2 linked regions of the Lonchura striata genome follow. The protein of the gene in region 1 purifies or fractionates together with the protein of each later gene. This does not show direct contact. Links are inferred from orthologs where the notes say so. Each region holds a gene or a part of one and is shown on either strand. Other genes may lie near its edges.

What was found.
Region 2: the proteins of SLC12A2 (region 1) and CLGN purify together in Homo sapiens (co-immunoprecipitation; 3 studies listed by BioGRID and IntAct, with this or other methods). This does not show direct contact. The link is inferred for Lonchura striata from reciprocal best matches to the Homo sapiens genes SLC12A2 and CLGN.

Annotation. Positions count from the first base shown.
Region 1 is NC_134642.1:83,897,730-83,901,636, forward strand, and holds the start of SLC12A2 (solute carrier family 12 member 2), read left to right. Parts: upstream 1-1,572; 5' UTR 1,573-1,721; coding exon 1,722-2,213; intron 2,214-3,907. UniProt on the Homo sapiens protein: Cation-chloride cotransporter which mediates the electroneutral transport of chloride, potassium and/or sodium ions across the membrane. Plays a vital role in the regulation of ionic balance and cell volume.
Region 2 is NC_134606.1:65,816,854-65,820,760, reverse strand, and holds the start of CLGN (calmegin), read right to left. Parts: upstream 2,491-3,907; 5' UTR 2,334-2,490; intron 2,203-2,333; exon of another isoform or gene 2,119-2,202; intron 1-2,118. UniProt on the Homo sapiens protein: Functions during spermatogenesis as a chaperone for a range of client proteins that are important for sperm adhesion onto the egg zona pellucida and for subsequent penetration of the zona pellucida.

The sequences.
Region 1 (3,907 bases):
TCTGAGGGGATCAAGGGCATACGAGGGGTCCGAGGGGCTGTGCGAGGCACCAAAGCATGTGAGAGCTCTGGGGGTGCGTGTGAGGGACCCAGGGGGTGTGTGTGTGACGGATCAGGCGGTGTCTGAGGAGAACCGAGATCTGAGGAGATCAGGGGGTGCACTTGAGTCTGGGGGTGTGTGTGAGGGACTCTGAGGGGAACTGAGAGGATCTGGGGGTGTGCACGGGAGGCCCTCGGTGCGTGAGGGGCTCCAGGGGTGTGTGAGGGGATCCGGGGTGGGTATGGGAGCTCCGGGGCTGTGTGAGGGGCTCCGGGGCCGTGTGAGGGGAACCGGGATGGGTATGGGCGCTCCGGGACTGTGTGAGGGGCTCCAGGGGTGTGTGAGGGGAACCGGGGCTATGTGAGGGGCTCCAGGGGTGTGTGAGGGGCTCCGGGGCTGTGTGAGGGGAACCGGGGTGGGTATAGGAGCTCCGGGGCTGTGTGAAGGGCTCCGGGGCTGTGTGAGGGGCTCCGGGGCTGTGTGAGGGGCTCCGGGGCTGTGTATGGGCGCTCCGGGGCTGTGTGAGGGGCTCCGGGGTGGGCATGGGCGCTCCGGGGCTGTGTGAGGGGCTCCGGGGCTGTGTGAGGGGCTCCGGGGCTGTGTGAGGGGCTCCGGGGCTGTGTGAGGGGCTCCGGGGCTGTGTGAGGGGCTCCGGGGCTGTGTGAGGGGCTCCGGGGCTGTGTGAGGGGATCTGGGGCTGTGTGAGGGGAACCGGGGCTGTGTGAGGGGCTCCAGGGGTGTGTATAGGAGCTCCGGGGCTGTGTGAGGGGACCCGGGATGGGTATGGGAGCTCCGGGGCTGTGTGAGGGGCTCCGGGGCTGTGTGAGGGGCTCCGGGGTGGGTATGGGCGCTCCGGGGCTGTGTGAGGGGAACCGGGGTGGGTATGGGAGCTCCGGGGCTGTGTGTGAAGCTCCGGGGCTGTGTGAGGGGCTCCGGGGCTGTGTGAGGGGCTCCGGGGCTGTGTGTGAAGCTCCGGGGCTGTGTGTGAGGGGCTCCGGGGCTGTGTGAGGGGCTCCGGGGCTGTGTGTGAAGCTCCGGGGTTGTGTGAGGGGCTCCGGGGCTGTGTGAGGGGCTCCGGGGCTCTGCGCGAAGCTCCGGGGTGTGTATGGGCGCTCCGGGGCTGTGCGCGAAGCTCCGGGGGTGCCCCAGGGACCCCGAGGGCTCCCGGGGGCTGCCGAGGGGTCCCGGCTCCGCGAGGCACCGCGCGGCCCCGAGCGCCCCGCCGCTCCTCTCGCGAGACGTGGCGGCGGCCGGCGGGGCCGTGCCGGGCGGGATCGCGGCGCGCCCCCCGCCCCTCCCAGCGCCGCCGCGGGGCGGATGCGGCGGGGCCGCCATAGTGCGGGCGGGAGGAGCCGCCGCCGCCCGGCCGGGGACGCGCTCCCGCCGCCCCCTCCGCCGCAGCCGGGAGCGGGCGGAGCCTGCGCGGCGCCGCCGGTTTTTTCCCCGCCGCATCCCTGCCGCCGCGCCAGCCGAGCAAGCGGCCGCGCTCCCGCCTGGGCTGAGCGGGGTCGGGCGGAGGGACCGGAGGCAGCAGCGGCGCCGTCACCTGGCGCTGCGGCGGGGGCGGGGCGCGGCGCTGTGTCTGCGGCAGCCCCGGGGCGCCGCTCGGCCGCTTAAAGCAGCGGAGCCGCCGGCTGGGAGGGGCGTTCGGAGCAGCGGCGGCCGCGGAGCGAGGGGAAGGCATGGAGGGCAAGGAGCTGGCGGCGGGGTCCACGGGGGATGAGGGCTCCAGGGATGCGCTGGGCAAGCCGCTGGGTCCCACGCCGAGCCAGAGCCGCTTCCAGGTGGACCTGGTGGCCGAGGGGCCCCGCAAGTCGTGCGGGGACATCGGCGCGGCGGGCAAGGGAGGCGAGGAAGCCAAGGGCAGGTTTCGGGTGAACTTCGTGGACCCGTCGGCCGGCGGCGAGAGCCCCGGCGAGCCCGGGGGAGGCAGCTCGGAGGGCGGCAACGTGCAGAACGGCGGCGACACGGTGATGAGCGAGGGCAGCCTGCACTCGGGCGGGCACCACCACTACTACTATGACACCCATACCAACACCTACTACCTGCGCACCTTCGGCCACAACACCATGGACGCCGTGCCCCGCATCGACCACTACCGGCACACGGCCGCCGACCTGGGCGAGAAGCTGCTCCGGCCCAGCCTGGCCGAGCTGCACGATGAGCTGGACAAGGTGAGAGCGGCTCCCGGGCTCCCCCGGCGCCGGGGGTGCGGCAGCTCCTCGGAGCGCGTCGGCAGAAAAGCTTAAAAAAAAAAAAAAAACAAACCCAAAACACGAAAGCTCGCCGAGCCTCGAGCAGGCGCATATAGCGCGGGTGCATAGCTTGCGTCTCAGTTCTGTTACATATTTATTTTTTTTTGTCTTTTCCTGACGCAGTGGAATCCATCCCCCCACGAACACGTGCTTTTGGGAGATGGTCCCCCAGTGCCAGAGGTATTTTCCGTAGGGTTGTTTTCCCTGTCACCGAGCTGGGATTCTCTTACAGGTTTTCCACGTCCAAATCGCCTCCAACAGATAGCGTATTGATTCGGGGGCTCGCCATGGGAACTAGTGTGGGGAGGCGAGTGAACACATTTGGTAGAGACGCTAAAAAAATGAAGTAAATAAATAAGGATGCGCTTGCTTTGGTAGCGGCCGGAGGTTTGTCTCTGCGGCTCCGAGGTGGAGCCCGCTGGATCCGATGGGATCTGGATCGGATGCTGCTGGATCTGCACAGGCACAGATCCTGAGCCAGCCTTCCCAGGGCTGCTCCTGTGCCGCGGTCAAGGCTTGAAAAATTTCGGAGCTGTGCGTCTCAGGCTTTTTCTATTTTGGACTAGGAGTCCGTGTGTTATTTGAGACGAGTTGACAGTGAGAGCCTTCTTTGCATTGCAGGCTGGCTTGGCTAGAAGACCAGCTGTAACTGAACGTAGAATTAATTTCCCGGGCTTATTTTTTTTTTTCTTTAACTATCGTCACTAAACTAACTCCAGATAAAGATTAAACTCTTGCAATGCTGTTTTCTCACTGTTTGAAAATTGGTGTATGGCTGTGCTCAGGAGCCAGTGTTTTTAAGTGAGGTCTTTCTGCTGGGTTTAGGGAAATAAATGCATGGGCCACATTCCAAGGAAGTGAATATTTTGTTTCCAGAACTTTTTTTTTTTTTATCACACTTTTCACTGCTTATAGGTGGAGTTCCTTGAGGAAATGTGTATTCTTTCCAGATTTACCTGTTTCACACCATTATTAGGCTTCTCAGTGCATCAGCACTGATGTGTGAGGTTTGGGGTTTTTTTGGGGGAATGGTGGTGATTCTTTGAGTGTGTTTTTGACACTGACTGTGGAACTGTTCCAGTAGAAAGAGCTGGTTGGTGCATTACAAAGATACTTGTTTGTGACATCTGAGATTAGATGACAGATTTTAATTACTAACCATAACTCCAAATTACTCCTGCCTTCCAGGTCCCTTTTTGATGGCCTAAATGATGATCTGTGGTCTGGTTCTAAGATAGCAGTAATTGCCAATTGAGATTTCATACTATGTGTTTGGACTTGGGTAAACTATAAATAACACACATATATGTGTGCTCGTAGTACATTGGTCTTCTGTCCTGCTGCTCCCCCAGATTTCTGATTCCTGGTCCATGATAGGATGACCAGGTGTGTTGGATACTCAGCTTTGTAAGCAGAATGTTTCTCAGATTTCTAAGCTTGGCAGATAGATTTTTCAGTGTGTTAATGTTGCAGCACTGTGGAAAGCTCTTTGATACCATTAAAATATTTCAGTGCAGAATATAGCATATTCTGGACCTACAGCTTCTAAAATTGCAATTTCTTTATTAAGAAGAAATTAATGGCAAGGAATTTTCTTTGTAGTCTGTGGCACA
Region 2 (3,907 bases), on another chromosome or scaffold:
ATCGTTATTAGGACAAGCACTCAAAGAATTCCACATCAATACCTTCTGGACTCCTTAGCTCCTAGCTAAACTGTCAAATATTAAACAAGTATCACACTTGCATTTTTAGCATATAGCTTGCCTACCTTACCTTTGCTAGTTTGTCATGCACATGGTTTCTGCTTCTCCTGAAGCAGAGCAAGAGGTACAACTTTCTCTTCCAGTACATTTCAGGTGTGTTTGTGTATGATTGACAATGCTTTTCACTTACGTAGCTGAAATTTTACTGTAATTACCCCCATTCACTTTTGTTCCATACACAGACTAACACAGGCATCCAAAAAGACACACTAGTACTCATCTTTGCAAACAGCTCCATTCCAAAATTTCTGATGCTGTCACATGGTTCCCACTGAATCTTATCACTACTCCCTGATCCTACCCAGGACTACCCTAAGTTCCTTCAGCTTTCAATTATATCTCTTACTTCTTCCTTCAAGAAGAGAGGGTGCATTTTAATTTTGACCTTTTAACATACTTCTAAAATAGTCCCAGAAATGCTGAAATGTTATCAAGACCAATTAAAGTTAACACTCAGCTGCCAGGCAAAGATGGTTTTAACCAGCCCGTGACATCTTTCACTTTTGTGAACTCTGCCACACTACAGTCTTAGAATATAAAATAAATCTTTCACCTAAACCAATGAGTTTATGGTCTCAAAACAGATCTTCACACTACACATTTAATTATCTTTAAAACCTACTGAACATTCCATAGTAACACATGAAGATCTACGAGAAACTTTTCTTACTCTATTTTCAAGATGGCAATGAAAATAAGTCAAAAGGATTCCCACTGTTACAATTTCCTCAGCAGAACAAAGCAAATTAGAAGAGTCTATGGCTCTCACAAAACACCAAACATATTTACTAGCAGTCTTGTCAATGCATCTAAGTTCAGACCTGTAATTTTAAACATACATTTTGCATAGCTTGGTCACTTTTTACCATGAGTAACCACAGCACAGCTACACATCAGCAGGTCATTTAAGCCAGCAGTAGTATTGCAGAGGATGCTCCAGGGACCAACAACAGTGCTGCAACATCAGCAGAATATTGCACCTAAAGTAACAAGCTGCTTCTTCTGAGACACAGACCAGTACTGATAAAAGACAACGGCATAAGCTGTAAACATAGTCTGACTGGATATTAGAATTTCTCTCCCCACACGGACAGGCAAGCAGCAGTACAGCCTGCCTAGTCTCAGTCCTTGGGCTTTTCCAAGACAGTATAGAAAAAAATCTCTAAGCAAGCTGGACCAGCCTCAGGGCTACCTCTGTTGCAAGCAGCAGGTCAGGGGAGAATTCGTGGTGTCAACAATTTGATTTGGGTTGCATAGTGCAACTGTGTCAACTTTTGTACTTCTGTACCAGGGTGTATCGTATACATGCCATTAAGTTAGCAGCATCATTATTCCATTCACTGAAGAACTTAGTTAAGAGGTCAGGATCTTTCAGATTACTGACCTTTTCTTGTACTTTGAAAACAGTCATGCCTTTTCCATGTAACTCTCAGAGTTCTGGATTCTCTAGCAGAAAGGGAGTAAGACAGCTATTCTCACTCCGAAGTCCAAAGCTCCTGCATCCAGTATCAATATACTGTCTTTTCACAGGACCAAATACCAATTTCATCCAGGGATGTGAAAAGCGGAGGATATTTCACACCCCCTTTCTTCCATCTGCAACCATGAGCTGCTTTATTCCCGCTCTCATTCTGCTACATTGGCATCAACTTGACATAACATCCAGCTGTAACTGGAAACGTTGTGTAACTGGAAATGCATGCAAGAATTCTTCCACGATTTTAATTTTTTCCTTTATTGGGTGTGAAAACTGTACCTCCCTCGCTTTACCTTTAGCGTTAAGCACCCTGCGCTGTAGTGGATGCCGAATGCCAAGTTCAGCAGTTCCTCCAGCCACAATGCTGCACTCCCGCAGGCGCCTCGAGATATTCTGCTGCTACAGGGAGCTCGACTAAAACCTTCAAGACCCTCTTTCCCAATCAAAAAATACAGATTTTAGGGACAAACGGCCACGCGGTGTCGTGTCAGCATGCGACTCGAACCTGCTTTTTGGGATACCTCGAAAGGAGAACCAAGGCCGCTGGAGCTCCGCCCGTCGTGCACCCGCGACTCCGCGCTTCTCCCGCCCGGCCTCGGGGAAGGGGCCGAGCTCCCGAGCCCTCCCGCATCCCACCCTCGGGACCAGCCGCCGTCGTGAGGCAAGGGCGAGCCGGGGCCGCCACCGCCCGCCGGGGCCATCGCCCCTCCCCTGGCCGCACGGGATGCACACGCACCTCCCGCGGGGCTGAGCGCCCGCCGCTTCTCCCGGCCCGGTTACCGAGCACGGCGACGCCGCTCCTCCCGCAACGGGCGGTTACCGGCGGTTACCGGCGGCGCTGTCGGGCCCGCGGCGGGCGGAGCCGGGCCCGGCCGCTCGCCCCGGCGCATCCCCGGCCGCGCACGCGCGCGGCGCCCCCGCCGCTCTCGGGAGTGCGGGAGCAGGTGCCGCGGCCCGCGCCGCGCCGCGCCGGCCAATCACGGCACGCACGGCACGGGCGAGCGGAGCGTGCGGGGAAGCGGGAGACGGGCAGCAAGCTCCGCCAATCGGAAGCGCCCGGATTGAGGCCGGACCAATGCGCGGCTGGATCGCGGCTGCCGGCCCGCCCTGCGCGGGGCGCCTCAGCCAATCGCCCGCCGCCATCGGCCGGCCCCGCCCCTCCGCCTTGGCGCCGCTGAGGGGGGTTTGTTGTTATGGCCGCGGGCCGCCGCCCGCCGCCCATCCCCGCCTGCCTCCAGCCAGGGAGCGGCCAGGATAAAGAGTTTTCCAACCCGTAACCTCGAGTTAATGAAACCCTTACTTACAGCTAGACGCTCACCCTGCCGCTTGAACGTACGTGCCGCGAAGCAGAGCGAAATAAAAACATTTTAAATGAGCTACTGTGAAAAACGCCAGTCACTTGTTGTTTATTATTTTTAAAAGTTTAATAATAATAAAATGGTTATAAAAATAGTAATACAGTTAGAGTAATAAAAATTTAGAGTTAGGGCAATTACAAGACAATAGAAAGCAAAGAATTACGGACGTCCGGATATTTTTGGATGCTAAGCTGCTCTGAAAAATGCATATTTTATGATTGGCTTTTCGCAAATGTTACAATGAATATTGTATGTGTAATGTTAGAAAGTTATGCTGTATTAATTCTCTTAAGTAGTGTGTTAAATATACTTTCAGCTTACAACATAATGTTAAAATAGAAACTCTGCGATGTAGGATTTTTTTACTAGCTCAAGGGATAAGATAATCAAGAAACTCTTCGCACAGAGATAACAGCAACAGGACAAAGAGTTACAGGCCCCTTATCAGAAAAGACAAACATTCTTCTACCTTCTCTCTGTCTTCATGGAACCACCAGGATTGAGGGGAAGGAGTTGACAAAAACCAGAAGTGCCCGAGAGCATCCGGACATCCGTAATTCTTTGCTTTTTATTGTCTTGTAATTGTCCTGACTACATTTTTATTACTCTAATTGTATTACTATCTTTATAACTATTTTATTATTATTAAACTTTTAATATTTTAAAAACCAAGTGACTGGTGTTTTTCACCGCTGCCAAAAACATGTCTTGTGAACAAAGGAATAGCCCTTAAAAGCAATAGCCTGTTGAATATTCATGTATCTCATACATGATGCATAAATTCCTTGTAAATTAAGAATTTTTCTGGTTTTTGTCAACTTGTTCCCCTTAATCCTGGTAGTTCCATAAAGATGGAGTGAAGGTGGAAGAATGTTTGTCTTTTCCAATAAGGAGGCTGTAATTATATGCCCTGTCACTGTTATCCCTGTGCGAATAATTTCTTGATTATCTT